Linked DNA regions of Caenorhabditis elegans. The protein of the gene in region 4 interacts with the protein of the main gene of each other region in a pairwise test. Each region holds a gene or a part of one and is shown on either strand. Other genes may lie near its edges. The genes, in order: cdap-2, mpz-5, pqn-54 and ant-1.1.

Region 1 (8,836 bases), on a different chromosome or scaffold from region 4:
AGAATTTTCTGAATTTTTTTTTAATTTGTGAAATGTTTTATAATTTTTAAAGCAAAATATGCAAAAAATTCCAAAAACTCTGAGATTTAGTGACTTTTTCAAACAAAAAAATCCAATTCTCACCCGTGACATTTTCTCTTGAAGCGCCGCAAAATTGCTCTTCAAAGCCGAAGACGACGGAGCAATGGCTGGCATTGTTGGTGAGGTGGATGTGGGATTCAGTTGAGAAGGAGCTGGAGCTGGAGCAGATGGAGCAGCTGGAGCTATGGTAGAAGGTGGTGGGTCGGCCTGGAAAATTGAGAAAATTGGTTTTGTTTATTTTTTAAAAAACATTTTCAGAATATTAAAAAAAATAAATTAAAAAGCATCAAATAAAAGGTAGACTGAACCTTTTTTGTTGGAATTTTTTTGAAAATTTTATCTTTCATTTTGCGCAAAAATTTGACTTTGAAAATCCTCCGTAGTTAATTATTTAAAAAAAAACATAAAACTCTTTTGCTGGAAGAGTCTATCAGAAAAAAAATCAGTGAAATTCTTGTAGTTTTGCTAACTGAAAATGGATTAAAGGTGGAGTACCGAAATTTGAAACTTTGCTTTCTTAGACCCAAAATAGTCCAAAACTACCGAATTTCGTAATGAAACGTTTAGAAAATTTCTCAAAAAAAGTTATGGTGGTTCAAAGTTCGGAAAAATAAAGCTCATTTTCAGCTAAAATCAAAATTTTTTCCAACTTCTCGGTGTTGCAACGTCTGGAACCTAATTTTTATTTATTCATCACTTTTTAATAAATATTGCGGTCTTTGATTGGGCGTTTATTCGTTGATTTAAGTACATTTATGGTCAGACGGGCACAAAATGTAACTTTTATTTGTGTCCCACTGACCAGAAATGTGCTTAAAACAACGAATAAACGCCCAATCAAAGACCACAATATTTATTAAAAAGTGATGAATATATAAAAATTAGGTTCCAGACGTTGCAACACCGAGAAGTTGGAAAAAATTTGATTTTAGCTGAAAATGGGCCTTATTTTGCAGAACTTTGAACCGCCATAACTTTTTTTTTGAGAAATTTTCAGAACGTCTCATTACGAAATTCGGTAGTTTTGGACCAATTTGGGTCTAAAAAGACAAAGTCTCAAATTTCGGTACTCCACCTTTAAAACTGGCCAAAACAAAAATTCTCGAAAAATGCTTTAATGGCAGCTTGAAATTGGAAAAAAAAGTAAAGTTTTCCTTAAAATTTTGAAATTTCGTCAACTTATTTCAATCACAGCGACTGGAAATTAATGTTCAAATTATCATCCTATTTTGCACACAATAATGTGGTCTCTGATTTTTTTTAAAAATTCAATGGCGCCGAAAATTTGTACTGGAAAAGAGTCTAAAAACTAGGAAAAAAAACATTTACTGGAATTCTTGTTGTAGTGATTGAATTAGAATTGCAAAAAAAAAGTGAGGGAATGTGTGAGAGACGCCGACAGCTCTCCCCAATGATCGAGAATTCAGTGTGTGTGTGTATGTCGGGAGACAGAAAAAAAAAACGAATTTTTCTCTCGTGGGAGGATGAGGTGTCTCTGTGTCTCTCACATAATATTCTGAGTAGGTGGAGATTTGATTTTTCCATCGTTTTTTTCTAAACTCATGAGAGGTGCCCCCGTCGTAAAGAAATTTCGGCGTCGGCTCTCAGATTACCTACTTTTCGTAAAGTTTTTATTACATAACAGGGGTGGGCAAATTTGTCGGTTTGCCGATTTGCCGGAAATTTTAAATTCCGGCAATTCACCGGTTTGCCGCTTTGCCGGAAATTTTGAATTCTGGAAATTTGCCGATTTGCCGGAAATTTTAAATTCCGGCAATTCACCGGTTTGCCGCTTTGCCGGAAATTTTGAATTCTGGAAATTTGCCGATTTGCCGGAAATTTTGAATTCTGGCAATTTGCCGATTTGCCGGAAATTTTGAATTCCGGTAAATTGCCGATTTGCAAGAAATTTTCGGGAAATTGACGGTTTGCAGATTTGCCGGAAAATTTGAATTCCGGCAATTTTCCGATTTGCCGGAAATTTTGAATTCCGGCAAATTGCCCATTTGCCGGAAATTTCAATTCCAGCAAATTGCCGATTTGCCGGAAATTTTGAATTCTGGCAATTCGCCGATTTGCCGGAAATGTTTAATTCCGGCAGTTTGCCGATTTGCCGGAAAATGTAATTCCGGCAATTAGCCCATTTGCCGGAAATTTCAATTCCAGCAAATTGCCGATTTGCCGGAAATTTTGAATTCTGGCAATTCGCCGATTTGCCGGAAAATGTAATTCCGGCAATTAGCCCATTTGCCGGAAATTTCAATTCCAGCAAATTGCCGATTTGCCGGAAATTTTGAATTCTGGCAATTCGCCGATTTGCCGGAAATGTTTAATTCCGGCAATTTGCCGATTTGCCGGAAATTTTCGGGAAATTGCCGGTTTTTTTTAACCAAAACTAATTTGAAAACTGAAAATTAAGATTAAAAATCACCAGTTTTAATTTAAAAAATTAATTTTCAACAGGAAAATAAAGATTGTTTGTTGAACAAATATTTCAAAATTAAAAAAAAACGATTTTTAAAAAAAGTTTTTCTATGGAAATATTAATTTTCAAAATAAATTAATATTGGATTTTTTGGCAAGTTTTCGATTTTCAGCGAAAAAAACCTAAATTTTTATTTTTCCTGCTAATAATCGATAAAACGGAAAAAAATTTCAATTTTTTCGGCGAATTCCAATTTTTTTCGAATTTTCTATGTATATTAATGTTCTAGTTTTTTTTTTTTTTCAATTTTTGAATTTTACCGATTTTGGAGTGTTTTCAGAATTTTTTTCGGTTTTTTTAAAAAGGAATTTTCAGAAAAAAAAAATCACACAACTTTAGGATTAATTATTTCCAGAAATAAAGTGAAACATTTTTTTTTCAATTTTCTCAATAAATCCCCTCCTCACCACTGAAATTTTCGCGGGTTTCGGTGGAACAGCCGGTTGTGGTGGATTGACTGGTGGTGGTTTGTGAGAGACAAACGTCAATGTCGCCTGACGTGAAATCGACCCATGTCTGGCACCGGATTCCGTTCCCAGTGGGACTTGAACCAATTCGACAAAATTATCCGGAAATAAGCCCTTCTTTCCGTGCAGTTCACCTTCAAACCATCCAGCGTCACCGCAGTTCTGCAAAAAATTAGTAGAAATTTGAATTTTTTTGGGAAATAATTTTTTTCCAAATTTTTAATAGCTTTTTTTGTTTAATACTTGATTTGAAGAGCCGTTTTTTGAATTTTTTTTTTTTTGCAAAAAAAGTTTGAAAATTTAAATTAATATTAAATTATAAATTTCAGGCCATGTATTTTTTTAAGTCGAAACTGTTTTTTAAAAAAATCATAAAAATTTAGAATATTTATTTTTCGCATGAGTATGACTTTAAAATTGTTATTAAGCAAAAAAAAAAGAGAAAAATTAAAATTTTGGCATTTTAATCTACAAATTTCCAACTTAAAGTCTAATTCGGAAATTTTAAAACCCAAAAATTAAAATTTTTGCCGGATTTTTCAGGGTATTCAATTTTTTTATCGATTTTTTTTAGAAATATTTTTTTCCAAATTTTTATTAATTTTTTTGTTTAATATTTGATTTGAAGAGCCGTTTTTTGAATTTTTCAGACATTTTTTTTGCAAAAATTTTTTAAAAAAATTAATATGAAATAATAAATGTTAGGTTATGTTTTCTTTGAATAAAATTTCTCAAATTGTTAAAAGCAGCGTTTCAAAAAAATTTTTTTTTAATTTGTTAAGATTTTTTAAGTCAAAACTGTTTGCGCAAAAAATTTCAAATTTTTAGCAAAAAAAAAACTTTTAAAAAACAACTTTAAAAAATTTCTTGAAATTTTCTAGTAAATTTTCGATTTTTTAAATTCTGAAAATTTTTGGGGATAAAAAATTCGGCGAAAATTTGAATTTTGATAAATTCTGTTAAACTTATAATTTTTCCAGTTGGAGTTTATTATAAATATGACGTTTTCAAGCAAATATAATGAAAAAAAAAATTAAAAATTGGGGATTTTAATCTACAAATTTCAAATTTAAAGTCTAAAATTTGGAAAAAAAATTAGACTTTAAACTTGAAATTTGTAGAATAAATTCCTCAAATTTTTAATTTTTTTGCTTGAAAATATATTAGTTTATTAGTTTACTTAACAATTTTAAAACCCAAAATTTTAATTTTCGCCGATTTTTTAAGGTTTTCCCATTTTATTTTCCAACTTTTTATCTAAAAATTGCAGAAATCCTGATTTTTTTTTCCGATTTCAGTGAATTTGCACCTTGTTTGTAATATTAATCAGCATATCAATCTCCTTAAGAGCCAGCTCATCATCGTGTTGGGGATTGTAGACAAATTTCACGCGAGCCATTTCTTTCGTTTTCGTAGTTTCTGCGTCTGTGCTCGCCGAGGCTGCAGAGCTCGCAAATGTGCTGCTGAATTTGGTTTCCAAGGCTTTGAGCACTGGAGCCGGGTCCGAGATTATCTGAAATTTTGATTTATTTGATTTAAGTGAAATTCTTCAGTTTCTGTATTTAAAAAATGTTTGAATAAAGTGCTGAGAAGCCATTTATGGAATTTTTTAATTGGAAAAAAACTATTTTCTTTTCAGTTTTTTAAAATTTAATTTTTCAGTTTTTTTTTGTTTTTGTCGAAGATAACTTTAATAAAAAATTGTAATGTAACAAATTTTAATTAAAAAATTTTTTCACTTCTAACCAGAAACTTACAATTAAAAGCTGAAAAAAAAGAGTTTTGGAACAAATTAAAAAAAAAATGTTTGGATATTTATATTTTTTGAATGAAAAATTAGCTGAAAATCAAAAAATAAATCGGCAAATAGGCAAATTGCCGGAACTTTTAAATTTCCGGCAAATCGGTAAAATGGCGGAATCGTAATTTCCGGCAAGTCGGCAAACCGGCAATTGCCAATTTTCCGGATTTCATCGACAAAAAATTGTTGATTTTCAATTATTTAAATTATTTGAATTTTTCCAAAAATTTGAATTTTTGCCATAAAAACTGATGTCTCAGGCACCGATATTTAAGTAAAATCTGTATTTTTGGGATTTTTCAGATTTTTTTCGCTACACGAACCGTCGACGGAGTTCTATCAATAGCTTTCGGCTCGCTTCTCATCACAACTTCACTTCCAATCGATTTTGCCGGAGTTCGAGCTGCTGAGCCCGCCGAAGTTGATGCACTAGCCGCTGGAGCAACTGCAGCAGCAGATGTGCTCGGCGTAGGCTTCAACGTCACAAAATTCGTCGGGAACATTCCGACGGCTCCAGTCGACTTGAGTTTTCCCTTACTCCAGCCATCTTCAACATCAGAGATCAGTTCGATGAGATCTCCGACGACAAAGCTTAGCTCATCGTCTTGTTTTGAGCTGTAGGCATACGTGGCCACGTATATTTGAGCTTGTGGTTGTGGAGGGGGAGCTGCAAAAAATATTTAAATTATTTTTTTGTAAATTTACACAAATTTTAATTTTTTTTTTCGAATTTTTTAGATATTTTTTTTCAGGATTTTCATGATTTTTTTTTAATTGTTAGAGCTATTTTAATATTGTCCCTCGACGAGTTTTTGAGCACCAGATCGTGAAAAAATCACGAAAATCGTGGCGGGACCCATTCGATCCAAGCCCCGCGCCTTTAAAAATGTTTGGATCTTTTTTTCAGTGTTATAATAATAATAATTGAAAACTGGAAGAAAAAAACATCTTTTTTAATTTGAAAAAAAATTAATAAAACTACAAGATTTTAGTGGAATTTAATTGGAAAAACTTTCAGATCGGCCGTTTTTTCCCCGAATTTTCTAGAGCTTTTTGAGAAATTTTCCTATTTTCTCGGACCAAAGCTCTAGAAAATTCGGAGCAAAAAAACGGCCAATCTGAACATTTTTCTAGTTAAATTCTACAAAAATCTTGTAATTTTATCTTTTTTTTCAAATTCGTCAAAAATAGTTTTTCTTCCAGTTTTCAAATATTATACATACTGAAAAAATATCCAAACATTTTTTAAAGGCGCCGGTTTTGGATTAAATGGGTCTCGCCACGATTTCCATGATTTTTTAAAGATTTGGTGCTCGAAATAACGTGATTAAATTTTAAAAATTAGAAACATTTAAAAAGAAAAATTTTCACAAATGAGAAAATCTCCGGTTTTTTTTTCATTTTTTCGACTGAAATTCTCAAATTTTTCGGTTTTTTTTTCAAAATTTCCAACTTTTTTCTAAAACAAACCTCTCCGTTCCACCTGTTGATGTACTGTAAATGGATTTCGATTTGTCATATCTCGGGAAAGTCGATTCACAATATCTCGCACATTTCCAGCGACTACTTCTGTCTGAAAATTGGCAATTTTTAGATAAAGATTTTAATCTGAAGTCTTTTATTTTTTCAAAAAATCACAATTTTCCGATTTTCTTTTGTTTTACATATGTTTTCTTTAAAAATTGCAGTTTTTACACATTTACTTGGAAAAAATAAAAAATTTTCACTTTTCCTAAAAAATCCCAAAATTTCCCATATTTTTATCCCAAAAATTGTAACTTTTTTTTCAAAAAATCATAATTTTTACAATCTGTTTTTTTAAAAAAAAATCAAAATTCTCACACTTTTTTTCCGAAAACTCTTATTTTTACCAATTGTTTTTGACAAAAAAATCGCATTTTTCTAAATCTTTTCAATCAAAAAATAACATTTTTACGTTTTTTGCCCAAAAATCTTAATTTTTACAATTTTTTTTTCCAAAAACGGAAATGTTTCAAATGTTTTTTATTTGCAAAAAAACAAAATTTTCACACTTTTTTAAAAATCTCAATACTAAAAAATCGAATTATTTTTTCTAAAAAGTCGGAATTTTTTAATTTTTTTAATCAAATAATGGCAATTTTCTCATTTTTTTTATCCAAAAAATTTGCAATTTTCATGACTTTTTCGACAATTTTCTCAATTTTCCAAAAAAAAAAAAAAAGAGATTACGAAATATACTAACTTCACCAACTTGTGCCATTTGTCCTCGATCCGCGAGTGTCCAACAAAAAAAACAGTTCAAGGCGGCTCTCGGATACAATTCTGGAAAAAATCACAATTTTTTTTAATTTTAAAATTAAATAAAGACTTTTGTGATTTTTTCAAGATTTCCAAGGTAACGTCAAAAAACCAAACAACGGCCAAAAAAAAAGGCGAAAATCGATAAGGAATTGTTTGTGCAGTGATGGTGGAAAATGTGGGGCAATAAAGTCAAAAACTTCTGTTATCAGTGGGGAGATGTGGAGAAAAATTTTGAAAAAAAACGTGGAGTGAATTTCAATTTTCACTTCTTCAATTGTGTGAGTTTCCCCCGAATGAGTCATCGCAGTGGTGTCTCCTATCGAGCGCCGCCGCGGGAAAGATCAATCACTTTTCGAACGTGTCCCCCTCCCCCACCCCCCTCTTCAATGCGTTGATGACCTGTGAACAGAAAAAAACGCGGCCAAAACAATAAAATCTCGTAAATTTATATTTTGATCGAGATGACATATTTAGGAATATATAATACGAAAATGCAAAATTCTGAGAATGCGAAAAAATTGTGAAAGTTTCGAAATTTTTTTTGAAAAAAAAAGGTGTAAAATTTCAATTTTTGAAAAGAAAAAAAAATTAAAATCTCGGTTTTTTAAACGAAAATTGAAAAAAAATCGAATTTTTTGAACTAAAAGTGTAATTTTAATTTTTAGATTGAAAACAATGTGAGAATTCCAAATTTTTGACACGCTTTCTCATTCATTATGACGGATATTACACGGTAACACGAAGTTGTGAGAATGCGTATTGCACAACATATTTGACGCTCAAAATATCTCGTAGCGAAAACTACAGTAATTCTTTAAATTACTACTGCAGCGCATGTGTCGATTTACGGGCTCGATTTTTGAAATGAATTCAAATAATTTAATTTAAGATTTAAAAATTAAGCAAAAAGTGAGAAAATAGGTAATACAAAGAAACTACTTTTTTCATGTCAAGAATCGAGATCCCGTAAATCGACACCAGTGCTACAGTAGTCATTTAAAGAATTACTGTAGTTTCCGCTACGAGATATTTTGAGCGTCAAATATGTTACGGAATACGCATTTTTACGAGTTTTGTGTTACAGTAATAACGGTCACAATAAATGATTTCCATTTTTGGAAAGGATAAGAAAATCTCGTTTTATTGGTGGAAAAATTGAATAAAAATCGATTTTCGAGACTTTTTTGTCTAAAAATCAAAATAACACTTTTTTAATCGAATTTTTCAATTTTTTCCTTCAAAAAATCAATTTTTCGCGCTTGTTTTTGATAAAAAGGACTCAAAATTTATTTTTTCGAAATATTTTTGAAATAAAACCAAAAAAAAATTTTTGGACCAAAAAATCGAACTGATTTTCGATTATTTTTTTTGAAAACCGTAAAGCTTTTGAAATTTTTGGGAAAATGCAGAAAACTGACAAAATCTCAATTTTTTAAAGTTTTTTTTTCGATTTTAACATCGCGCGAATTTTTTTGTCGACAAATTCGACAAATCGGCAAATTGCCTATTTACTGGATATTTGAATTCCGGCAATTTTCCGGTTTGCTGATTTGCCGGAAATGTTTAGAGGGATTTTTTATAAGACGGAAACACTTAAAACTGTGCCTTTTTGAAATTTTTTCCCGTTTTCTTTGAATATTTTCATAGAATTTGCTTGCTTTTCAAAACTGATGTAGGAACCAGGGGTGTGCGGCAAATTTGCCGAATTTGCCGAGCTCG
Region 2 (7,341 bases), on a different chromosome or scaffold from region 4:
AAAACAATGTCTTTTTTCCATAAAAAACAAATTATTTTTGTGATAATCTGGAAAATGTATACAAATTTCCGGTGGAACTTTCTTTTTATTAAACCTTTTTTTGAGATAGAAATACGGAAACTTACTCGTTCTTGTTGTCGAAGATTAAGAAATCGAGGCCTATAACCCATTTCCAAGAATTCTTTCAAAGTATCCGTTCCACCAACAAGTGCAACTTCCATCATTGCATCATGATAATGATTATTGATAAGATAAACATCTGGCTTCTTGGGTCCTTCCGTCATTAAAATCTCTCGTACAACATCTCTTCCATCTGTTGATGCTGCATAAATAAGTGCCGTATTACAGTTTGGAATCGACGCAACATTCGGATCGGCGCCCAATTCAAGAAGTCGTCGAACAATAGTTTCACTGGAACTTGCAGCCGCTTCCATTAGAGGAGTGATTTTTGATAGTTTATCACCACGAAACTGCATAACTCCAATTTCGTGAGAATACTCAACAAATTGTTCAATCTGAAGGAATAATTATAGTTTGAAATTTCATGAAAAACGTTTCTAAATGACTTACACCAACTCGAGCTGCAAGAAGAAGCATTGCATTTTGCTGAACAATTTGACTATCAATGGAAGGAAGTTGACGAAAATTGATTATCGAATCTTTTTTCTCGTTATTCGAAGGTGTGGAATCGAATACTGAAATTTAATATTATTTCTGTTTATTTTCTTTATTTTTTTTTCCAGAAATTTATCACCGTCCATGTTATCGTCCATTTCAGTCAGTCACATCATAAAGCTAAAACAAACAGTTTTTAAGCATATTTTCTTATTCTGTACTAACACTCAATGTCTATTATAAAATGTTGTTAATGTTGTTTTACTTTTATTTTGTGGATAAGTTCAAAGCGTTACGAGATCCTAAGGCATTTTGAAATCAAAAAATGTTTGAGCATAAAAGCTTGATTTTGTAATATTTGTACGATTTTTGTAATATAGTATGAAATAACGGGCTGTTTTTTTAATCAAAACTTACCACCATTCTCGTCGCTGAGTTGGGTTTCATCGTTGTCTTCAAGCGAATCTTCGTCAAAAACATAAATATCACGAATCGCTGCTTTCATTAATTCTTCGGCGAATGTAGTGGCAAGAAAGCTGAAAAATAATTCTATAATGTTTTTTTTATTTTTTCAGGTTCCTTTTTTCCGTCAATCAATTTATAATTTTCAAAATGTCTAGAAAATTGAGCATGAAATGCGATTTTGTATTCAAAAATAATAACAAAAATTTCATTTTCATAACTTTCGACTGCAACTTTCGACTTTTTCGGAAACTTTGCAAAAAATAACCTATTCCGCAATGTCATTCCAACGTGTTTCATAGAAAATGGAAAAAAATGGCGCTCCTGATTTTCAATTTTTCGGTATATAATTTTTGATATGTACTTTGTATAAGTGCTAATTTATTTAAGGTGAATACTCGAAAAATTCCAATTACTTATTCAATCAAAAATTTCAATTTGAAAACTCACGAGTAAGCCATCGAGGAAACCGAGGTAAGTGCATCGACAGCATTTTTGATTGGAACCTTTTTGGGATCCAAAGGGTTGTACGGTCCAAATCTTTCAGGTTTTTCACTTTTATGATCTTCAAGAAGGTCGGATATTTTAAAAAGGATTTGACAATCATCCATTTGTCGACTCTGAAATTAATAAAAATCGAGACTTTAAACTAATTGAAATATTTACCTCAATTATATCGAGAAGGTTGGAGACCGGGGGAAATCGACACTTGTCCGATGAGAGGAAATGCTCAAAATTGAGAATTTTGAGAACAGTTGAGATGGCTTTTGTCGGAAAATGCTCACAGTCATCGTCTTCGATTTCGATGGCAATTGTGTGAAGGCAATCGTAAAGCTAAAATATAAATTTATTGAAATTTTTTTAGTCGAACAAAAATAGCTCACCCTAGCACCAAAGTGGTAAAAAGATGAAAAAACTCGTTGTCGTTTTTCTTCGTCTGCTCCATCCATATCCATTTCTAATGGAATGAGGTGATTGAACATATTAAGGTGAGCCATTCCACCTTTGGCTAAACTAACACGGTGGTCTCGTCGCTTCTGAAATTTTTAAAATAATTGATATTGGAAAATTCTGAATTTTTAAGCAAAAAGGAAAATACAAAGAAAAATGATTGTTTTAACTGAAACAATAATCTTAATGGTAACTTTTCAAAACAAAAATTTTCTTCCGGAAACCTATGTGGCAGGTGAAGAGGATAACCCATAATTTCAAAATGTTGGAAAACAATTTATTGTGTTTCTTCCATGAAAGTAAGACACAGGCGATGTTCGGAGAAGTTGTAGGCGCGTGACAGACATAATACACGTCTTCTTCCATCTGCCCTTTTCGTTTCACTATCGGAACAACGGCATGGCAACGGGCATGAGGAGGAAAGGAATTAGGGAGGATGTGAGAAGATGAATCGATGGATGATAGTGATAAAGAAGGAACATATTGATTATTGTTCGCAATAACATTCTAGAAAATTTAGAAAATCCTAAAATTAGCATTCAAAAAAATAAATGACTTCGTAGATCCGAAACGCATGTTACTTTTTGAATTAAACATAATGATTTCTTAACAATCGATATAAACAATTTTCTCAAATATATTAAAACTAACTTTATCAAAACTAGAAAAAAATTATGGAGGATAATCCGAATACTCGCGCATAACGCATCCTCCTTTTCCCTAACGAAATCCAGTTACGAGCAATAGAAATGTAAACGAAGTAATATGAAAAATGATTTTGCAAACTTCAAAAATTAAATGAAACTGAAAAATTCAATATTCCTCCCAAAACCATGCAAGAATTGAGTCTTGGAAAGCTGGTTGGCAAATTCGAAAGAAAATAATGGGTTCGTAAAAGCGTCAGCACGAGAATTGCGCCAGCAACTTGTGCTGACGCATTTGCTGTGCGTGCTCCCAAAAAATAAAAAAAAGGTTTTTATGTTTTGTGAATAAAAAAAAGTTCTGTACAGAATTCTGTTTAAATGTTTGTAAAAAACAGAAATCGACAATTCGTGATAAAGAAGAATAGTTTTAAAAATTGTGTTATTTTAATATTAAATTTAATGTCACGTTTCCAATTATTTGGATTTAAGAAAACGTTTTATAAAACCTGAAAATCAAAAAAAAATCATTTCCCAATTGAGTTTTCATACAAACCGATCGAATTATGAAGAAAAATGAAAGCGGCAGCGTAAGACAACTGAAACGATTCAAAATAAACATAAATGAATTAAGTTGGCTCTTGATAAAGATTTCAACATTGACAAGCTTTTGCCAAAGGAATTGATCGACCATTTCATGATTCGAAAGCCAATAGGAGTTCGTGTACACAAGCAGGATTGTCGGGTAATTGTCAAATAGTATTTATTCAAATTCTTGAGCTCTTGATCTTGATTTTGGGACACCATACATAATTCATATTCAGATCACACATGTCCTTCCTGAATCACATCTTATTGGAAAAGCATTTCTAGGTGATTGTATCACTGCAATCGATGAAAAAGTTATCCACACTAGTGACGAGTTGCACCAAAAGTTGAAAGAGAAAACTGAGGTGTTAATATTTCTGAATCGAGTGTTTGCAAACGAAAATTTCAGAATATTCATCTACAACTGAAACGTAACATGTTTTCCTGGTGTTTTCATATTCGAACAACTGTTGAGAAAATCCAAATTGACAGAGATTTAGAGAGAATCACTCCAAATCCTGTTAACCATTACTTTGTGAGACAGCTTTTTAAAAATTAAAAAAAAAACTTTCTTATTTTAGGTTCTCATAAAAGTTCGTCCAACTCCTGAAATGCAATTCATTGACTTGGGATTATTTGTCAAATATAACAATAGAGATCGTTTGGAGGTAATTTAAACTTACAGTAACCACCGCATTTCATTTTCAGGTTGATTATGTTACTCCAAACAGCTTAGCATCCATCCATCTGAAATCTGGAGATGTCATTCGGGAGTGTAATTCTCAGGCAATTTGCTCGAAGAGCATGCTCCGTTATTGTATTGCGAGCAGCATCGCTTCTTCTGGACACTTTACGCTTCTTATTGAAGCACCAATTCGAGATATTCTCAGAGATCACATTGATTTGGCAGATGATGTTGTGGCAATTGCTGATAAGGCGGTAGAGGAGTTCAGAAAATTGGGGAAAGGATATCTACCACAACAACCGAAGAAAGGAGATAAGAAGAAAAACATCAAATTGAAAGAGGGACGTACAGAACATCAGATCGTTAGTGACATTGATCCTGCTAAACTGAGAGCGTGTAAAAATGCTAGCTGAATTTCTCTGATAATAAAGTTTCTACATTAAAATCCTTAAACATTCATAATTAAATATTATACGTTAACAGCAAACAAAATAGTGTAAGAAACAAATATGAGAAAAACTGCGGTTCAAATGGGTTCAAATAAAGCCAGGAACTAAAATGCGAACCGGATATGGATAATTTAAAGATGTAATAGCAATTTATCGTACGAGTTGAAGAGTCTGACCAACAAGAGACGTCACGTCAACTGTTGGATGGACCGCCGATCCATCGACATTCTTCAAGGCAATCTTACCGTTCCAGAGATCAAGAGCAGAGCGAACCTGAAACAAAAACAGATTTAACATTTTAAATTTCTAGGAAAACCCGATAAACATACGTGATATAGAAGATCAGCATATCCCTTCAGGTGTTCTTTTTCTGTTTTCACATGAACTCGAACTTTCTTTGATCCATCAACAACAGTGATCCCATCGAAACTGTCACCTTCGGCGAACAACCAAAGCTGAAAATAATTGTTCAGGAATATTAGAGAACATCAACAAAAACGGAATTTACCTCAACTTCTGAATCCTTAATTGCACTCTTGCTGGTGGCAGTTGGAGCCTTTGCAGCGGCTGGTGGTGATCCCAACTTGATAGGTGTTCCAGTAGCGGATACAATGTCATTCAATTTGGCAGCAACAACCTTTGCGAGTTGAGAATCAGCTGGACTAACAACAATATGAACATGAGCAGTATCAGTAGATACAAGTTTAGCCTGTTTGCGAAGACGTTGAACACGATTTGTCACTTCTCTGCAGAGTCCTTCTTCAATAAGAGACTCATCTTCAGTTGTATCAATCATTACAATGGTCTTTGCATCCGAGTGAGTTTTGTATCCATGTCCTTGATCACTTCCAGCCGCGTAGCTAACAGCAACTTCTTCCGAGGAGAGCTCATGCCCAAGCACAGTCAATTTTCCTTCAAGAAGGAATTTCTCCAACTCAGATTCAGTGATTTGGTTCTTCAAGTAGTCAGCAACCTTCTTTTGTTCTCCCTTGAGACGAGCACCCAGAATTTTGAAGTTTGGCTCTGCCTGTAATTTTAAGTATTATATTTTGAACAAACTTTTTGAAATTTTAATACCTTTAGGGTGATTCCGTATTTCTGTTTATCTTGTGAAACGGTCAATTTTCTGACGTTCAACTCAAGAAGAATATATGATTCCAAACTTTTTACGTCTTCCAAAAACTGACTGTCTCTGTTAATAACAATCATTTCCTTCAATGGATATTTCACAGCAAGTCCTTCACGATCGCGAACAAGACGAACCAAGTCGATAACATTTCTCATAACTTCAACTCGTCTTTCCACAGTCTCGTCGATTAGACTCTCATCCGGTTTTGGGAGCATCAGGAAGTGAACTGATTCCTCAGTCGAACCAATGACTTTCTTCAAATTTAGCCAGATATACTCGCAGAAGAATGGTGTGAAAGGAGCCATCAATCTAACAATCAAAATGAGAACTCGTCCGAGGGCTGCCAAAGCGTGATGTTGCTCATGAAGTCCGTTGTCTCCCTTGACTCTCTTTCTATTTAATCTGATGTAGATATTTGTAAGAGTGTCAAAGAATTTTGTAAGCGGTCCAACAACAGCATAAAGCCGATAACTATCCATTTCTTTCCGAACAAACGCAACAAGACTGTTTGTAAAGGATTCAATCCACCGATCCATGACATTTTCACTGGCAACATGAACGTTCATGTCAAACACATTTCCAGTTTCCTAAAAACGATAATATTTCAATCTCATAATTGTTTCAACATGAATAAACTTACATGTTCATATGCTTGTACGTTTTGTACAAAGAATCTGTAGGCATTAAACCATGGAAGGAACACATCCTTGAGAAGATCTCTTACGCCTTCTTCTCTGAATCTCAAATTTTCTCCTCTAACCACAGGAGAGTTGATGAGATAAAGACGCAAAGCATCGGCTCCGTACTTGTTAACAATGAGCATTGGATCGGGATAGTTCTTCTTACTCTTTGACATTTTTGCTCCATCCGACGCCAATACGAGTCCGTTACAGATCAGGTTCTGGAAAACATTTTTGATTTAAATTAAAATATTGAAATTGTACGAACCTTGAATGGTGGCTTGTTGAACAAAGCAGTTGACAGAACTAGAAGTGTGTAAAACCACCCACGGGTTTGGTCAATTCCTTCAGCGATGAAATCAGCTGGGAAATTGTCTTCGAAGATTTTGCGGTTCTCAAATGGATAATGATTCTGGGCATATGGCATGGATCCTGATTCAAACCAACAATCAAAAACTTCGGAAACCCTCTTGAGAACTCCCCGTCCTGAACGAGATGGGATCGTAACATCATCAACGCTGGAAATTTGCACTGTTAATTTATAAAGTCATCGTATTTTATGAATAGTAACATGTTTTTTAACAAACCTTTCTCTATGAAGATCAGTGATTTTTTGTCCTGAAAGCTCTTCTAATTCAGCAATACTTCCAACACATACAACTTCCTCTCCATCTTCGCTCACCCACAAATTGATTGGAGTTCCCCAGAACCGATTTCTCGATACAGCCCAATCGCGAGCATCTCTAAGCCAGTTAGCAAATCTCTTTTCCTTGACAAAAGCGGGAACCCAGTATGTCTCATCATTGTTAGCCAGAAGCCTTGGAATCAGGGTTTCGACGTTGATGAACCAGGATGGAACAGCCTTATAGAGAAGTGGAGTGTCAGACCGCCAACAGAATGGATAGGAGTGCTTCACTTCCGCTTGTCTGACAAGATTTCCCATTTCCTTGAGTCTCTTGATAATCAACTTATCAGCATCTTTCACGTAGACTCCTTGATAATCTGGAACTTCTGATGTGTATTTTCCACTTTCATCAACTGGACAGATCATTTTTTGGTCTTTAGCGATAACTCCATTCGCCACACAAACTTGGAAATCGATCTGGAAAGTATTTTTTATATAAAAAAAGAAAAGAAAAAA
Region 3 (7,967 bases), on a different chromosome or scaffold from region 4:
TTTTTTGTTTTTAATATTTTTAATATGAAATTTGGCAATACTAATAAAGTTAAAATAGGGATATGAACTGAAGCTCGGCACGAGAAAAATCGAAACGTAAGAAAATTCGGCAAATTGGCAAATTGCCGGTTTGCCGATTTGCCGGAAAATATCATTTTCGGTAAATTACCAATTTGCCGGAAGTTTTTAAAGCGATTTTTTATAAGACGGAAGCACTTAAAACTGGTCCTATTTTATTCCTGTTTTTCTTGATATTTTCATAGAATTTTCTTACTTTTCAAAATAGATATAGGCACATTCATAGGATGCCTACAATTTTGCCGATTAAAATTGAAATTCTGAAATTACCAAAAAAAATGTGCAAAACCACAACGTGCCGAAAAGTTTTGACAATTGCCGGTGTGCGGCAAATTGGTCGAATTTTCCGAGCATGGCAAATTTTGAAATTTGCTCTATACATCAAAAATTTAAAAATACAATTTTGACCAACACTATTGATTTTTTCCCCAAAAATTATGTAAAATGACACAAAATTGAGTCATTTTTACATTTTTCACACGGAACTTAATCAAAAAAAAAAGACGCGGGTTAAGAATTCAGTACTTTTAGTGCTCCAAAAAATATTTAAAAATATAACATTTTTCGGAATTTGTTAAGCACGGCAATTGTGCCGAATTTGCCGAGCTCGGTAAATTTTGAGATTTGCCGATTTGCCGGAAATCAATTTTTTGAAAAACCGTAGAGAAAAAACTCACGTGGTAGTTGGTAATGCAAAGTTCGGAAACACGTTATCTCTCTTCATCAATGGATACCATTCGTCATCATCCTTTTCCACCTCAACTTCACTGATTGTTGACATCGAATCCCAAGTCATTGCGTCTTCTTCATCATAGTCATCATCTTCCTCTTCATCACCCGTTTCTCCAATGACCTGTCTTCCATTTCCATTGGCGGCTCCATTCGTCTCCATATGATAGACTTCCATATCAGAGTCGTCATCAGGTTCGGCGTCAACATCCAACTCATCTGGACTATCCACATCAATCGCTTCTTCCTCTTCCTCCTCCTCCTCGTCCCCGCCAAATTGATGTCCAAATTCAAAGTCGTCGTCACGATGTTCCATATTAGAGCAGTGGGGGTTGATTCCTCAAATTTAAAGGTGGAGTAGCCTCAGTGGGGAAATTGTTAAAAACCACTCCTATAGTCCCAAAATGACCAAATATCATGATAAAACTTTCCAAAAAATTTTTGAAAATTTTTTATTTACTGTCAAAAAGTGGCAATTACACAGTTTTTGCTACTCGTAATTTTGGAACTCGACCAAAAAACTTATTTTTTCCTACATTTTTTATACTTTAATTTTGTTTTAATTATTTGTATTAAAACATTGTAGGGGTGTGAACATGCGACATTGCCTTGGATTTCCTCAAAAGCTCGTATTTTTCAAAATTTTGGCGATTTGCCAAAACTTTGATCAGAAATTATGAAAAATCTAAAATTTTTTGGAGTGTTTTATTATTATTATGATATTCGGTTGTTTTGGATCATTATAAGTGCATTTAAACAAAACCCCCACTGGCGCTACTCCACCTTTAAATATTAAATATGATATTTCAAATAAGCTACAAAACTCAGGTTCTAAAAATCCACAAAACCCCGAAAATAAAGCCAAGTCAAAATGCAAATCGATAGATGAGAGAGAAAGAGGCACAGAGGTCTCTTCACTCACAAGATGCAATGCGTCTCACTCTCTATGTCTCTTATGGTCTCGTGTTCACATTAGACTTGGTTCTATGGTGACCGAGACATATCGATAGGAAACATTTTTTCGTAATATGCAACCATCATGTGTCATTTGAAAGTGTTTCATGAGGCTATGTCACTGCAAAATTTTAAGCGGCAAAGCTCTACTCTCAACCCCAAAAATTTCGATCTTAAATTGTTTCAGGCCAGTAGAATTGGTCCTGATTTTTTTTGTGCAAATTTTCAATGTTTTTTAGAACGGCTAGAAATAAGTTTACATTCTGGGAAATTTTTAAAAATTTTAAAAAATTTTTGAAAAAAAAATCTAAAAATTTCCTCAATCCACTCCACTCGGTTCAAAAATTTTTCAGATTTTTTGAAAAAATTTAAAAATTTTCAAAAATTTTCCAGAATGCTTACCTACTTTTAACCGTTTTGAAAAACATTGAAAGTTTGCAACAAAAAAAATTTGGAGCAATTCTACAGGCCTCCAAAGTAGTGAAGAAGTGCACTGTAACAGTTTCAGATCGATGCTAGAGGGGTTGAGAGTGGAGCTTTGCCGCTTAAAATTTTGTAGTAATATATCCTTATGGAACACTTTTAAATGGCACTTGTCTCGTTTTGAAGTCTGACATTAAAAAATAAAATAAAATAAAAACCTTTCCTTGAAAAGCGGCCATGTTATTTTTTAGTGCTAATCTAGTCAATAAACTGTGAGCCAGCTATAAGTTTTGTAGTCATTGTTCATTTTCTAGACAATAAAAAACCAAATAATGTAAATCAATTAAAATATCAAAGTTGTTTATTAAGTTCTTGTGAAACTAATTGGTTTCATTATATACAAAAACTTGAAGTCATTGTTCAGAGTCCGTTCACTTTCTTCTACAGCACTGTCCATTTCCGCATGGAGAGTAGTTAGCTTGGCAGGAGCACGAGTTTTGTGGGCTTTGTGGGCTCTGCTGGCAAGCCGTAGTCGCTGGCTGAGCGGCTTGGCAGGAGCTGGAGCACGAGTCCTGGCAGGCAGACTGGCACTGAGCGGCTGGTTGTTGTTGCTGAACGCATTGCTGCTGGCACGACTGCTCGCATTGTGGAGTACACTGGGAGGACTGGGCGACGGAGGATTGGAGAACGATTTGGATCACAGCTTGGGAAGATGCTGGGGCGGATGTGCTGGCATCGTATGGGTTGTACATTGGAGCTGGAGTCTGAGAAGTGCAGGAGTTGTCACAGGCTGGCTGGCAGGCTGGGGCGCAGTTGGCGGATCCGGAACCTTGGTTGTTGTTGTTGTATGGATTGTACATTTGGGTGTTGGTGTTAGAGTTCTGGTTGTAGACCTGTTGAGTGGCTTGAGCAGTTTGTTGGCAAATGTTGGAGCACTGGCTGTTACAAGCCGAATTGCACTGGTTAGCTGGCTGTTGTTGTTGGGTGCAGGATGATTGACACTGTTGCTGGCACTGTGGTTGGCATTGAGCTTGAGCCTGTTGGATCTCGAGTTGGATGTGGACTACTTGTGGTGCCTGAGTGGATGTGGCTGGAGCATCGCAGGCAACGTTGCACTGTTGCTGGCATTGTGGCTGGCATTGGGAAGCTGGTTGTTGTTGCTGAACACAGGTGGATTGGCACTGCTGTTGGCACATTGGCTGGCATTGGACGACTGGAGCTGGTGTGGTGGTGGCTGGTGGATTGTACATTGGAGCGCACTGGGATTGGCACTGCTGTTGGCATTGTGGCTGGCACTGGGCTACCGATGGTGCAGCCTGGCATTGTTGGGTGCAGCTCTGTTGGCAAGCTGGAGCACATTGAGTGGTTTGGACCTGAAAGTCTCTCTTTGGAGCTATAGCATAAGTTTGCTAGTAACCTGAACATTCTGGGTTTGTTGTGGTTGAGCGCAAGAGCATGATGGGGATTGTTGCTGAACTGGAGCAGATTGGCACGAGCACGATTGAGTCTGTTGAACCTGTTGGCACGAGCATTGGCTCTGCTGGGGTTGAGCACATCCGCATTGTCTCTTCTCACGAAGCACATTGCCCTGAAAATTAATATTCGTAGACTCAAATTTTTAGATCTTGCACAACTTACAGACACCACTAGGGCGCAGGCGAAGAAGGCAATGGCGAGGGAGGTGAAGCGCATGATTAGAGCCGAAAGTATCGGATGAGTATTTCCATTTGATTGTGGGCTTATATACCATCTCGCTTGAAACTATCCCAACCATCTTCCGCCTTCTCATGCCGCGCGGCAAACAATTTATCGCGTGAAAAAGTGTTCGGTAAGACGAGCAAAGATGAAAAAAAAAGAGACGGTGAGCAGTGCACTCGAGTGGCCTATTCAAATAATCTTTGATTGACAAGAGAAAAAATTCATGATGTATGTGCACCAACACTTTGTTGAACTTCCTGCCCGTTATCACAGAATATATAGAGGTTATCGCTAACATGGAAATCAGTAAGTGTGTCGCGGGCGATGGAAGTGCAGAGATTTCCAGTTTGATTCCTGTGACAATGACTTTTCAACAACCGAATAATCGACGAAACAGTGGCACCCTTTCGAAAACGAGCATATTTTTGTATTGTGCCTATATTTCGACATGCTTGGTGAGTGTAGAGGGAATTTAAAACTAGGAAGAAAAAAAAAGAAATTCGCATACTTTTATAAACTTCAAAATTGTTTTTTAGTTCAATGTGGAAAAACATGAACATTCAATTTTTCGATACTATTTACAGGAAGACAGGGCTTGGTCATTCTGTGTCTCTCTTTGTATGGACCTGATGGGTGGTATGAGAGTGGTTTCCATTGAGCAGCTTTTCGAGGGAGTCTTGCAAATGTTTCTCAGCGGATATTTAGGAAAGCATTTCGACGGGCTCTCGAGGAAACGGGGTACGGTAGACAACTAAACGATCCCGTGGTGTCAGCCTGCCTCATTGCGGTTCGATCTACGACAAATGGGAATATTTTACCAGAAAAATTGTGACGTCAGCACGCTCTTAACCATGCAAAATCAGATGAGATCTCTGCGTCTCTTCTCTCGCATTTTTCGAAGATCACAGCAAAATGGGACGTTCTGACTCCACGTGAACGATTCATTTTTACAAATTTCGATTACTGCAAAAATGATTTGTTCAAGTATCACATTGACCTAACAAAAACTACAATCAAATACTTATTTCGTGAGTATTTGTAAGAGAAAATCAAGTTTTCAATTTCAGCAATCATGACCGTCGTACCGTTGAACAATTTGAGTATTTGTGCTGCAGCTGCTCTTATTATCAGTGAGTTCTAATTTGACACTGATGTAGGTACTCGAAGCTAAAATATTTTAAGCTTGTCTGTCTATCGATGCCACGTCACCGTGGTACATAGTCTGCCTGGTTCTAGCAATGTGCATATGCGCGGTGAACCGGCTTTTCCTGAACGCGGAAAAGTTCATCACAGGCAGAGATTGGGTTATGGTACTCGGAAATGATGGTACACTGTCGAATATGAACGCAACTCTGTTGACATTGGATCAATGTACCAATGTTATTGCACCGTTAGTAACTGGTGTTAGTTCTGTGTTCGCTTTTTAATTCCAAAGTAAAAACAAACTAAGTTAAGGCTCTGGTGACCTGGGTTGGTCTTCGTGAAACAGTTGGAATATTTGGTATAGCCTCTCTTGTTTCAATGGCTTCAAAAACCATTTTCCTTAGAGCAATCTACATCTCCAATCCTCTGCTTCAAGTGAAGAAAGACAAGAAAGATGAAGCGCTAGACCCATTCGCCAATTCAAGGCTCAAAGAATCTGTGGTTTACACGTACTGGTGCCAGATCTCATTCCCAGCTGCATTTGGAATGAGTCTTCTATTCATGACAGTGATGGGATTTGATGGATTAGCTGTAGGATATGGCTCAAGTGTAGGGCTTCCGGAATTTGTTATCGGAGCATTCAGATCCTATGGATCCGTGACTGCGATCCTTGGAGCGTTTTCCTACGCATTCTTCGAAAAGCGATACAGTGTCGCCACTTCAGGACTACTGGGATTGGTTGTTCAGCAGTTTTTTGCGGTTCTAGCAGTTATATCCGTGTTCCTCCCGGGATCTCCTATGAACCTTGGTGGATACTTTGGAAACTTCACTATGGGAACTTGGTGGCACGATATGGTTCACTCTTTCGACGGGAATAACGCTACAAACTTGGACCCACATGTTGATTGGAAGCACTTTTCGTCTGATGGTGTCAGTTTGGCCAGCATCTTTGTGTTCTTGATTGCGATTGCATCCGCAAGATATGGTGAGTTTGGGTTTTTTTTAAGGTGGTGTAGTCGAATTTTTTATTACCTTATCAGGCTCAAAATTGTCTGAAAACTCCTAATTTTATAATGAAACTCCTTGAAAAATTCTCAAAAAAAAGTTATGACGGCTCAAAAAATGGGCTAAGATTAGTTAAAATTGAAAATTTGACCGACTTGTCAAGCGGCTGGAAACTATCTTTTTTTGAAACCATGGTCAAAATTTAAGTATACAATGTAATTATCTTGTGTTTTAACTTCATATAGGTATTTTAAAGTCGATGGACGGCAAGTTTTGGTTTAAAAAAATTAAAAATCTCAAGTTGAAAACGCAACATAATTACATTTTGTACTCAAAATTTGACAGTAATTACAAAAAAAAAATTGTTTCCAGCCGCTTGAAAAGCCGGTCAAATTTCAAGTTTTAACTAATACATATTAGGAAATGTCAAAAAAATCAGGAATTTTTTAAAAATTAATTTTAATAATCAATTTTCAGGATTGTGGTGCCTGGATCTGGCTATCACTCACATAATGCAAGTCACCATCCCAGAACGAGAACGAAATACAGTATTCGGAATGCACAACGCGTTGTGCCAAACGTTCTCCGTTTTAAAAGATGTTCTAGTCATTATTCTCCCATTACCGGCAACTTTTGCAATTTGTATATTTATTTCTTACGGGTTCGTCTCTTGTGGTCATATGTTCTTTATTTATTACTTGGTGAAAACCAATAGCTTATCAACGGTTGGCAGGAAATTGTCACAACTACCAGAGAAGGAGGAAAAAGAAGAGAAAGAAGAATTTGAGAGGTTATAGATGAATTTATCTAAAAGATTTTTTTATAAGCAAATAAATAATTCATGAGCAAAATATAACAATTTTTATTATTGATCTGAAACTAAACTTTACAAACGTCTTATCATATATTTTTCAATAATCTTATTGTGAATAATCTTTGAATCGTTTTTCAAAAAATTGTTTTAAATTATTTTTTGGCAATATTTAAGAATTTCTAATTTACATTTGAAAACATAAATTTAATAGATACGCTCTTGAATATTACAAAGAAAATATATTAGCTTATTTGAAAAATACCAAAAAACTGTTCCAGAAATTTATTTTTAGTAAATATAGAGTTGCACCAGTTCGGTAGTGTACTTTTCCTGAGACAACTTACTTCAACTTGGGAATTACTTCAATGTGCCAATTTAGACATTTTCCATGTTATGGACATTATTACAAAAATTCTAGATTATCAAAAACTTCAAATGTAAATATTTATTTCTCTGAAACTATGACCTGTAAGAAGCAAAATATACATCAAAAAGCTGGCAAGTAGTGTACACAAAAAATATGCTCAAAAAGTGTTCAATACGTGTAGAATCCCTGCTTCGTTTTTCTGCCAAGCTTTCCTTCAGCGACCAATTTGTCCATAAGTGGGATTGGTGCAAAACGGGCGTCACCAGGGATGGTTTCGCGGAAGACTGAAAGATTAGAAAGGGTTCAATAAAACCTAGAAAAGGAGTTGGTAAATCTCACTTTTCAAAGTGCTCTGCAGAACATCAAGTCCAACATAGTCACACAATTCAATTGGTCCCATTGGGTAAGAAGTTCCAAATCGCATGGCTGTATCGATATCTTCTTTAGTTGCATCTCCACGTTCCAGCATGCGAATGGAGTCCATAAGATATGGGATCAATAGCCGGTTGACAATGAATCCAGGAGTATCCTTCGCGGCGACCGGCAGCTTTTTGATTTCTTTGCAGAAGTTGAACAAGAAATTTGTGGTCTCTGGAGAAGTTTCATCAGTTGATACAACTTCTACAAGCTTCATCACTGGAACAGGGTTGAAGAAATGAAGCCCAGCGAATAGTGCCGGGTTCTGAATAACTGGGAGCATTTGAGACAGTTTTAGAGACGAGGTGTTCGTGATAAGCATGCAGTTTCTGAAAAAAA
Region 4 (8,106 bases):
TGTGGCTGCGAGTATTACCTGAAAGCTTGATTTCGGTTAGAAAAAGTCGCATTAAATTGCTTTAAAATTACTTTGTGTGCTGATAGCTTTCGATTTTCAACCAACAAGGCCACATCGCAGAGCTGACATTTCGATCGCAGTTCGTTGAATATTGAGTAGCTTTTTTTATACATTTCATCGAGAATATCGACTTTTATAAAGTCCAAATCGTCATCTGTGTAGAGGGGGATTTTCGCAATTTTATCATGCTTCACGTCAGATGCGAACATTCTGAAATTGAACATATTTTTAAAAAATTCATAAACTTTATAACAGAACAAAACATCTTATATTTATAAGATCTTATTCTCCCACGAGAATGCCGAATTAAAACACGAGAAATGCGCAAACAAGAGAGCATAGAGATTTGAGAGACACAAACAAACATCGCAAAGTACGCCAGCAACCACTCCTTGACGCATATTGATTTTGTGAAGCTAAGAATTCGATTTTTCATTTAATTTTTACAAGGTTTACAAGAGAAGAAATTTAATCAGTTTTCCCACCTCAAAAATGCTTAACTATGATAAAATGGAAAAAATTGGAGAAGGTAAGCTATTCCCTGCCCATTTTTCCAGCCAAATTGTTGACTTTCAGGAACCTACGGAACCGTTTTCAAAGCCAGAAACAAAAATTCAGGAGAAATCGTTGCGTTGAAAAGAGTAAGGTTGGACGATGATGATGAGGTACTCAAAAAGCATTCAAAAAAATAAACTAAAATTCAAATTCAGGGTGTTCCAAGCTCTGCTCTCCGTGAAATTTGTATTCTCCGCGAGCTGAAACACCGAAATGTAGTAAGGCTCTACGACGTTGTTCACTCAGAAAACAAGTTGACACTGGTTTTTGAGTATTGCGATCAGGATTTGAAAAAATTTTTCGACTCGCTGAATGGGTATATGGATGCACAAACTGCACGATCCTTAATGCTTCAACTTCTCCGTGGTTTATCCTTTTGCCACGCTCACCATGTACTTCATCGAGATCTCAAGCCGCAAAACCTGCTGATTAATACAAATGGGACACTGAAACTAGCTGATTTTGGATTAGCCAGGGCGTTTGGCGTCCCAGTTCGATGTTTTAGTGCAGAAGTTGTCACGTTATGGTATAGACCGCCGGACGTGCTTTTTGGAGCGAAATTGTACAATACTTCAATTGATATGTGGTCTGCCGGGTGTATTTTTGCAGGTTTTTTTTAAAAATTAAATTTGCCAATAAATTTTCCTAATTTTTACTTTTTCAGAGATCTCAAATGCCGGTCGTCCATTATTCCCCGGTGCTGATGTTGACGATCAATTGAAACGAATTTTTAAGCAATTGGGCAGCCCATCCGAAGATAATTGGCCATCAATTACACAACTTCCAGATTATAAGGTATTACATGTCGTAGTTCTTTGAATTTTTTGTATTTTCACCTCTACATATTCTTATCAAATTCTCTTAGTTCTCTAATTCCGTCTTCTTATCTTTTCCATTTTACCTGCCACGATTTTGCCGCTGTCCTGTCCTCCCGACTACTATCCGCCCGTGTCAATTGGTGAAAAACTAAAAAAGAAAAAGATAGAAAGAAGAAATGATATTGAGTACTTTGAGCTCAGCTGTTTGTTCGGGTGACGTAATTCATACAATCACGGGCGGCTGGGACAGGACAGAGAACAGAGTATTGAGTAGATTTAGAGAAGCAGAGACAACTGTTCTAGATTTAAGATTGACAATAATTAATTGAATTCCATTGCATTATAGGAACACACAAGTATAACATACCATTTTTCAGCCCTACCCAATCTACCATCCAACGCTTACATGGAGCCAAATCGTACCTAATTTGAATTCACGTGGCCGTGATCTTTTACAGGTAACTTTTTTCCAATAAAAATTATACTTACTCAAACTCGAAGTATTTGCAGAAACTTCTTGTTTGCAATCCAGCAGGAAGAATCGATGCCGATGCAGCTCTACGCCATGCGTACTTCGCAGACACTTCTGACGTCTAACTATTCACTATTGCACTTTCCTACTCACATTGTTTTCTCGCTTTCCCTGGCATTCACTTCCCCCACTGACCCCAAATGAACCTCATTGCTTGCGAAACAAAATCTCATCGTTAATAAACGGCTACGGTTTGAAATCTTTCTGTGGCACATAATTGAACGAAGGGAAAATCAACAACGTTTTATTGTTGTTCGAGTAATTTTAAAGATCAACGGCAAACACAGGTGCAATAACCGAGATTGTCAAACCGAGTCCAGATAAAGGGGCTATCCTAACGAATGTTCAATCGGGGTGTTGAGGGAAAGAATGAGAATTTGAAAAGGGGAAAACTTTAATAGAGGATTTAAAACTTTTTATGTGGCTCGCTTTATTTTTGAAAACTTAACATAGTAGCTAGGTGAACTACTTTGCTAAAACAAGCTACATAACGAGATTTTGTTGGACAATGACAAGGTAAAAATTATCAAAGTGTTATCAAATTTAAAGGAACTTCTGGATTTCGTCGTAGATGGCCAAGACGAGGGCTCCTCCGGTTCCACGGAAGACGTTGGAGAGGGCTCCCTTGAACATAGCGGACATTCCTTCGTTTTGGATGATCTTCTTTGCGCAATCGAGGGTGTTTTTGTAGAGGATATCCTTGCGTCCAGACTGCATCATCATACGACGACGAACAGTGTCCCATGGGTAGGAAAGGATTCCAGATCCGACTGTGACAACTTGAGCAATTCCCCAAGCGGCGAAGAAGTTGAGTTTCTGTCCATCAGAAGCGAAGACCATCTTGGCGGTATCGAACATTCCGAAGTATGCGGCACGGTAGATGATAATTCCTTGCACGGAGACGAAGAATCCTCTGTAGAGTCCGATTGGTCCATCGGATTTCACGATCTTGATAAGGCAGTCAGCAAGTCCCTTGAATTCACGGTCGTTGGCCTTTCCAATATCAGCAGCAAGACGGGTACGGGCAAAGTCGAGTGGGTAGACGAAGCAGAGGGAGGTGGCTCCAGCAGCTCCTCCGGAAGCCAAGTTTCCTGCGAAGAACCTGAATTTCAAATGTGAAATTTTCTAAAAACAATAATGCAATGTTTAACTTACTTCCAGAAGTCCTTCTTTTTGTCGAGTCCCTCAAGGAAGATTGCCTTGTATGTGTCCTTGAAGGCGAAGTTCATGGCCTGAGTTGGGAAGTACCGGATGACGTTAGCGAGGTTTCCTCTCCAGAGGGCAGCAACTCCTTGCTCCTTTGGGACACGGATGAGAACATCCATGATTCCCTTGTAACGCTTGTCAACGGCGATAGCCTTGGAAGCATCTTGGACCTAAAATTTTTCATATTTATAGTGGAAAAAAGTTTCATCACACACCTGGAGGAGAAGCTTGACACGCTCAATTGGGGCAACAGCGGTCTTGGAGACGGCAGCAGCGGTACCTAAAAGAAAACAAAATTAATTAAATCACAAATTTGACGAATGAAAACCCAAAATTAATAATTATAGAAATCCTCCAAATTTTTGCAATAAAAACTGAAAAAGCTTACCTCCTGAGGCGAGATCGATCAAGAACTTTTTGGTGTCGAAGGACTTTTCTTTGGACATGATTCAAGATTGAAGGACCTCGGTGGTCGGTGCTTGCCAGAAGCAATAGTGGGAAGACGGCCGCCCGTCGAAACGGGGTGCGCGCACAGCCCGTGAGGCACTTTGCAGGTCTCGCCACGCTCGCAAGTACGGTGCGTCAGGCGCGGCGATTCAAACACTAGTTTTCTCTGACCGCCCAGTTTTGGGATTTTTTGCATATTTTGAGCCTAAATATCAGTTTTGTTATCGATTTTTCGTATTTTTCTTTTCTAAACGTGTTCGTTCCTTCATTCCTGAATTTTTCACGTTTTGTTTTATTAAAAAAACGTGATTTATTTTCGAAAAATAGGTCATAACTCCAAGAAAGTAACTTAATTGCGAAAGTTTCAGTTTTTATGAAAATTATGAGCCATGTCAAAGCAAACACAATAGTGTATTAGTGATAAGCAGTACTTGAAGTGTTTTTTGTTTATTTACACTGTAGATAACTGGTTATTCGTAACCTCAATGTTCCGAAAAAAATCGATATCGCATTGTGGCTAATTTATGCCTACGGGAGTTTGGTATGACCGGTTTTTCGAATCGCTTTAAAGTAGTTTTCTTCATATTTCTCTTCTCATCGAGCCAATGACTTGTCACTATCATGGAATTTTTTTCGGGTATCAGTATGTCGAGCCACAAGGAAGAGCCACTCGAGGCTGACGTCGATCAACTTACTCAATACCGTGAGCGATGTGCCGACCATGTCACCGAATTCAAGAGTATTCTCGACGAGTGCAACGATCGTGTCAACTCTCGTTCTAACACTGAGGAGACCTGCCATCAGGAGATGGCTGACTACGTTCACCATTTGGATCACTGTGCCATGCCAAAGGCCTTCGCTTCGTTGAAATAATATTTCTTTTCCTGCTTTTTTTGAGGATTTCTCGTCTAGTTTATGTGAATTTTCGCTCTCGTATTTTTTATCCGTCGCTTTTTCCGTGTATTTGAGAGATAAATAAATAAAAATTTAGGGTACCCCATCCGCATCACTGCTGGACAACAATGCCGTCTGATGCGAAGAAAGCACGCGAGGCCGCTAAGAAGGCTGCCGCCAAAGGAGGAAAAGGAAAAAAGAAGGTGAGCAATTGATTTTTAGTTTTTTTTTGTTTAACAAATAATAATCATCTCATTTCCAGGTAGAAACACCAACCGCCATGTCATCTCAACATCCGTCCGTCAACAGTCTCTGCTGTTTAGACGAGGAGCTCGATCAGGCCGCCGCCACCTTGGCCAAAATCGAATTGGAAAACGCTGCTGCTCGTTCAGTCGCCGGATCATTGACTTCCGATCCAAAGGGTCTTGATCACAGAGTAGAAAGCCTGACGGTAAGTGGTTTTTAATTGGCGACTCCAACAAGTAACTTTGTTTTCATTCAGATTACATTCCACGGTCGTGAAATTGTCGTTGACACGAAACTCGAACTCAACCGTGGACGTCGTTACGGACTCATCGGATTGAACGGATCTGGAAAGTCTACCATCATTCAGGCAATCTACAACAAGGAAATGCCAATCCCAGAGTCCGTGGATATGTACCTCGTATCCCGTGAAATGCCTGCTTCAGAGAAAACTGCTCTTCAAGCGGTCGTTGATGTCGATTCAGTCAGAAAAGAGTTGGAACATCTTGCCGAGCAGCTTGCTAGTCAGACTGATGAGGAAAGTCAGGACAAGCTGATGGATGTTTACGAAAGGCTGGATGAAATGGATGCATCTCTCGCTGAAAAGAAGGCTGCCGAAATTTTGCACGGACTTGGATTCACAAAAACTATGCAAATGAAAAAATGTAAAGATTTTTCTGGAGGATGGAGAATGCGCATTGCTCTCGCTCGTGCACTTTTCCTGAAACCGTCAGTCTTACTTCTCGACGAACCGACCAATCATTTGGATTTGGAAGCTTGTGTGTGGCTTGAGGAGGAACTCGCTCAGTATAAAAGAACCTTGTTGGTGGTTTCTCACTCTCAAGATTTCATGAACGGAGTTTGCACCAACATCATTCATTTGTTCCAAAAGCAATTGGTTTACTATGGAGGAAACTACGACCAGTTTGTGAAGACACGTCTTGAATTGCTCGAAAATCAACAAAAACGATACAACTGGGAACAGTCTCAACTTCAACACATGAAAGATTACGTCGCGAGGTTCGGTCACGGTTCTGCCAAACTCGCTCGTCAAGCTCAATCCAAAGAAAAAACTATGGCTAAGATGATTGCCGGAGGCCTCGCTGAAAAGGCTGTCACTGAAACCGTGAAACAGTTTTACTTCTTTGATGCTGGGGAGATTCCACCACCAGTTATCATGGTTCAGCATGTTTCATTCCGATACAACGAGAATACTCCATGGATCTATAAGGATATTGACTTTGGAATTGATTTGGATACCAGAATCGCTTTGGTCGGACCTAACGGAGCTGGAAAATCGACACTGTTGAAGCTTCTCTGTACTGATGTGATGCCAACTGACGGATTGATCAGAAGACATTCGCATTGTAAGATTGGACGTTATCACCAGGTTGGGAATTTTTATGAAAAAAATCTGCTGTCCAAACAAAATTAGAAAATCCAAAAATTTAGTGAAAAACATTTCATTCAATTCGAAAGTTACACTATTTCTGAAGCAAAAGCAAGACAATGACCAAGACCAGGGCGATAATAATCCATCTCAAATTGTCAACTTCCTCCTCGGCATGCTCATCTTGCTTCACAGTTTTCATCGCTGGTGTTTGCTCAGTCGGTGTCATAGCCTGTGTAACAGCAGTGTTTGGACTGGTTGTTGAAGCTCTGAAATTGATCATTCTTATTCTTAAATTTCTGGTCGAAATGTGTGGGAATATTCTAGATATCGTCTGTGTAAATATGCTAATTTAGCCTGGCTTTTGACCACTTTCATATCAGACTTTGAACTAAATTGAACAAAACTCACGGAGTAACACCCAAATCTTTGCCGACAGCATCAAGAAGAAGTTGCTCAATTGGTGGAGCATCAGCATCGCACTGCTTCGAGGTGCTCACACGAGCCATTAGACGCGTGTTAGTTGGTGCCTCATCAGCCGCTTTCATTCCTTGATGCATGAAATAAGTTGTCAGCAGAAGCTTAGGCGTACCAAGTTCGCTCCACTGAGTGACACCATCTGGCTTCTGCCAAGTGAGAAGAATGCGCATTTGGGATTTCGGTGCAATGTGTCCTGATCCTGCTGGAAGAGCTGTGATGTTTGACGCCGCGCTGCAACGGAGCTTGACGAATATGTCACGGTCAGAAATGTTGCAGAGAAGGAGTTGAACACGAGCTTGATCGCCTTTATTTCGAATGGCTTGAAATGTCAGCAGTGTGGCTTTCATCTCTTTGTTGGGATCATCTCGGAGAGTGCGACGAATTGAAAGACGCGATCGAGTTTTCTTGCTGCTTGACGATTTCTTGGAACTTTTTCCCTTTCTCTTCGAAGATTGAGAGTTTTCCTTCGCAGTTTTCATCTCACTCTCTTGTTTATCATCTTTTTTAACTTCGGGCTGCAGAGGATCTGCAGGAACAGGAACATTAGAAGACTGTTCATTGAGATTGTTATCGGTTTCTTTTGTTTCGCTGAAATTATTGTTTTGAATAAGGTTTAGCAATTGTTTCAAAACAAACCTCATTTGCGAGCCGGACGTCTCCTGATAGAATTGAGAAATAATTTATTCCCCCCCCCCCTTGTCGATAATCATCGAGTTGGAATTTTTTCACGGAAAAAATAAAAAATAATAATTTTTTGAAATTATAAATTAATTTTTTTCTAAATAATTTATTTTTCCTTTCAGCATCTCCACGAAGAGCTTCCATTGGACTTATCGGCTCTTGAATTCATGATGAAGGAGTTCCCAGATGTCAAGGAAAAGGAAGAAATGAGAAAGATTGTCGGAAGATATGGAATTACTGGAAGAGAACAGGTTAGTTAGCATAAACTAATCATGAATAGCTAGTAATACATTTTTTATTTCCAGGTGTGCCCGATGAAACAGCTATCTGACGGTCAACGTTGTCGTGTATCGTTCGCCTGGTTGGCTTGGCAGCAACCACATCTTCTACTTCTTGACGAACCTACTAATCACTTGGATATGGAATCCATTGATGCATTGGCCGAGGCTATCAACTGCTTCCCAGGAGGAATGATTCTTGTTTCTCACGACTTCCGTCTCGTTTCGCAGGTAACATATTTTTATTACAGCTTTTAACAACGCGTGACACCGCTGATCGATGAAGTCCTACGTAGAGTGAAACTCTTACGGATTCTTGCTACAATCTTGCACAACTCCTGCGTAAAGTAGAATCTTGAGTAGCTTTCCGGGAGTCTTGTGTAGTTTGAAACAACTTTTGCACACTCCAGAGACACATTTTCAGACATTTTTTGTGACGATTTTGCATGATTTGGCAAGCAAAAAAGTATCAATTTATGTTTTTACAGTACTGAAGTTCCGTTGCTCTCGTAAATCGACACA

What was found.
Region 1: the proteins of ant-1.1 (region 4) and cdap-2 interact in a two-hybrid assay, tested with the Caenorhabditis elegans proteins (one large-scale study listed by BioGRID).
Region 2: the proteins of ant-1.1 (region 4) and mpz-5 interact in a two-hybrid assay, tested with the Caenorhabditis elegans proteins (one large-scale study listed by BioGRID).
Region 3: the proteins of ant-1.1 (region 4) and pqn-54 interact in a two-hybrid assay, tested with the Caenorhabditis elegans proteins (one large-scale study listed by BioGRID).

What each region holds. Positions count from the first base shown.
Region 1 is NC_003279.8:3,323,536-3,332,371, forward strand, and holds the start of cdap-2 (SH3 domain-containing protein), read right to left. Parts: upstream 7,139-8,836; 5' UTR 7,077-7,138; coding exon 7,059-7,076; intron 6,408-7,058; coding exon 6,305-6,407; intron 5,502-6,304; coding exon 5,158-5,501; intron 4,547-5,157; coding exon 4,343-4,546; intron 3,196-4,342; coding exon 2,974-3,195; intron 289-2,973; coding exon 124-288; intron 1-123.
Region 2 is NC_003282.8:10,369,680-10,377,020, reverse strand, and holds mpz-5 (PDZ domain-containing protein), read left to right. Parts: upstream 1-3,198; 5' UTR 3,199-3,235; coding exon 3,236-3,259; intron 3,260-3,303; coding exon 3,304-3,414; intron 3,415-3,493; coding exon 3,494-3,622; intron 3,623-3,666; coding exon 3,667-3,792; intron 3,793-3,838; coding exon 3,839-3,925; intron 3,926-3,965; coding exon 3,966-4,355; 3' UTR 4,356-4,383; downstream 4,384-7,341. Other genes in the region: Ankyrin repeat and KH domain-containing protein mask-1, read right to left, coding at 126-515, 571-695, 1,033-1,151, 1,528-1,697, 1,744-1,911, 1,962-2,075; iars-1 (Isoleucine--tRNA ligase, cytoplasmic), read right to left, coding at 4,542-4,664, 4,721-4,846, 4,900-5,418, 5,469-6,107, 6,161-6,421, 6,469-6,718, 6,788-7,302.
Region 3 is NC_003283.11:1,460,923-1,468,889, reverse strand, and holds pqn-54 (Prion-like-(Q/N-rich)-domain-bearing protein), read right to left. Parts: upstream 3,901-7,967; 5' UTR 3,877-3,900; coding exon 3,823-3,876; intron 3,773-3,822; coding exon 3,602-3,772; intron 3,558-3,601; coding exon 2,616-3,557; 3' UTR 2,530-2,615; downstream 1-2,529. Other genes in the region: gid-8 (CTLH domain-containing protein), read right to left, coding at 756-1,123; fpn-1.2 (Solute carrier family 40 member), read left to right, coding at 4,245-4,337, 4,467-4,620, 4,950-5,012, 5,065-5,285, 5,338-6,010, 6,508-6,827; hacd-1 (3-hydroxyacyl-CoA dehydrogenase), read right to left, coding at 7,380-7,495, 7,551-7,957.
Region 4 is NC_003281.10:13,458,742-13,466,847, reverse strand, and holds ant-1.1 (ADP/ATP translocase), read right to left. Parts: upstream 3,686-8,106; 5' UTR 3,618-3,685; coding exon 3,560-3,617; intron 3,452-3,559; coding exon 3,387-3,451; intron 3,342-3,386; coding exon 3,121-3,341; intron 3,068-3,120; coding exon 2,509-3,067; 3' UTR 2,196-2,508; downstream 1-2,195. Other genes in the region: kel-3 (BTB domain-containing protein), read right to left, coding at 1-18, 72-269; cdk-5 (Cyclin-dependent-like kinase 5), read left to right, coding at 553-589, 637-725, 771-1,224, 1,280-1,410, 1,811-1,891, 1,944-2,030; T27E9.2 (Cytochrome b-c1 complex subunit 6), read left to right, coding at 4,264-4,491; tag-164 (Major sperm protein), read right to left, coding at 6,240-6,414, 6,557-7,213, 7,262-7,266; abcf-2 (ABC transporter domain-containing protein), read left to right, coding at 4,641-4,715, 4,775-4,963, 5,015-6,145, 7,429-7,557, 7,612-7,815.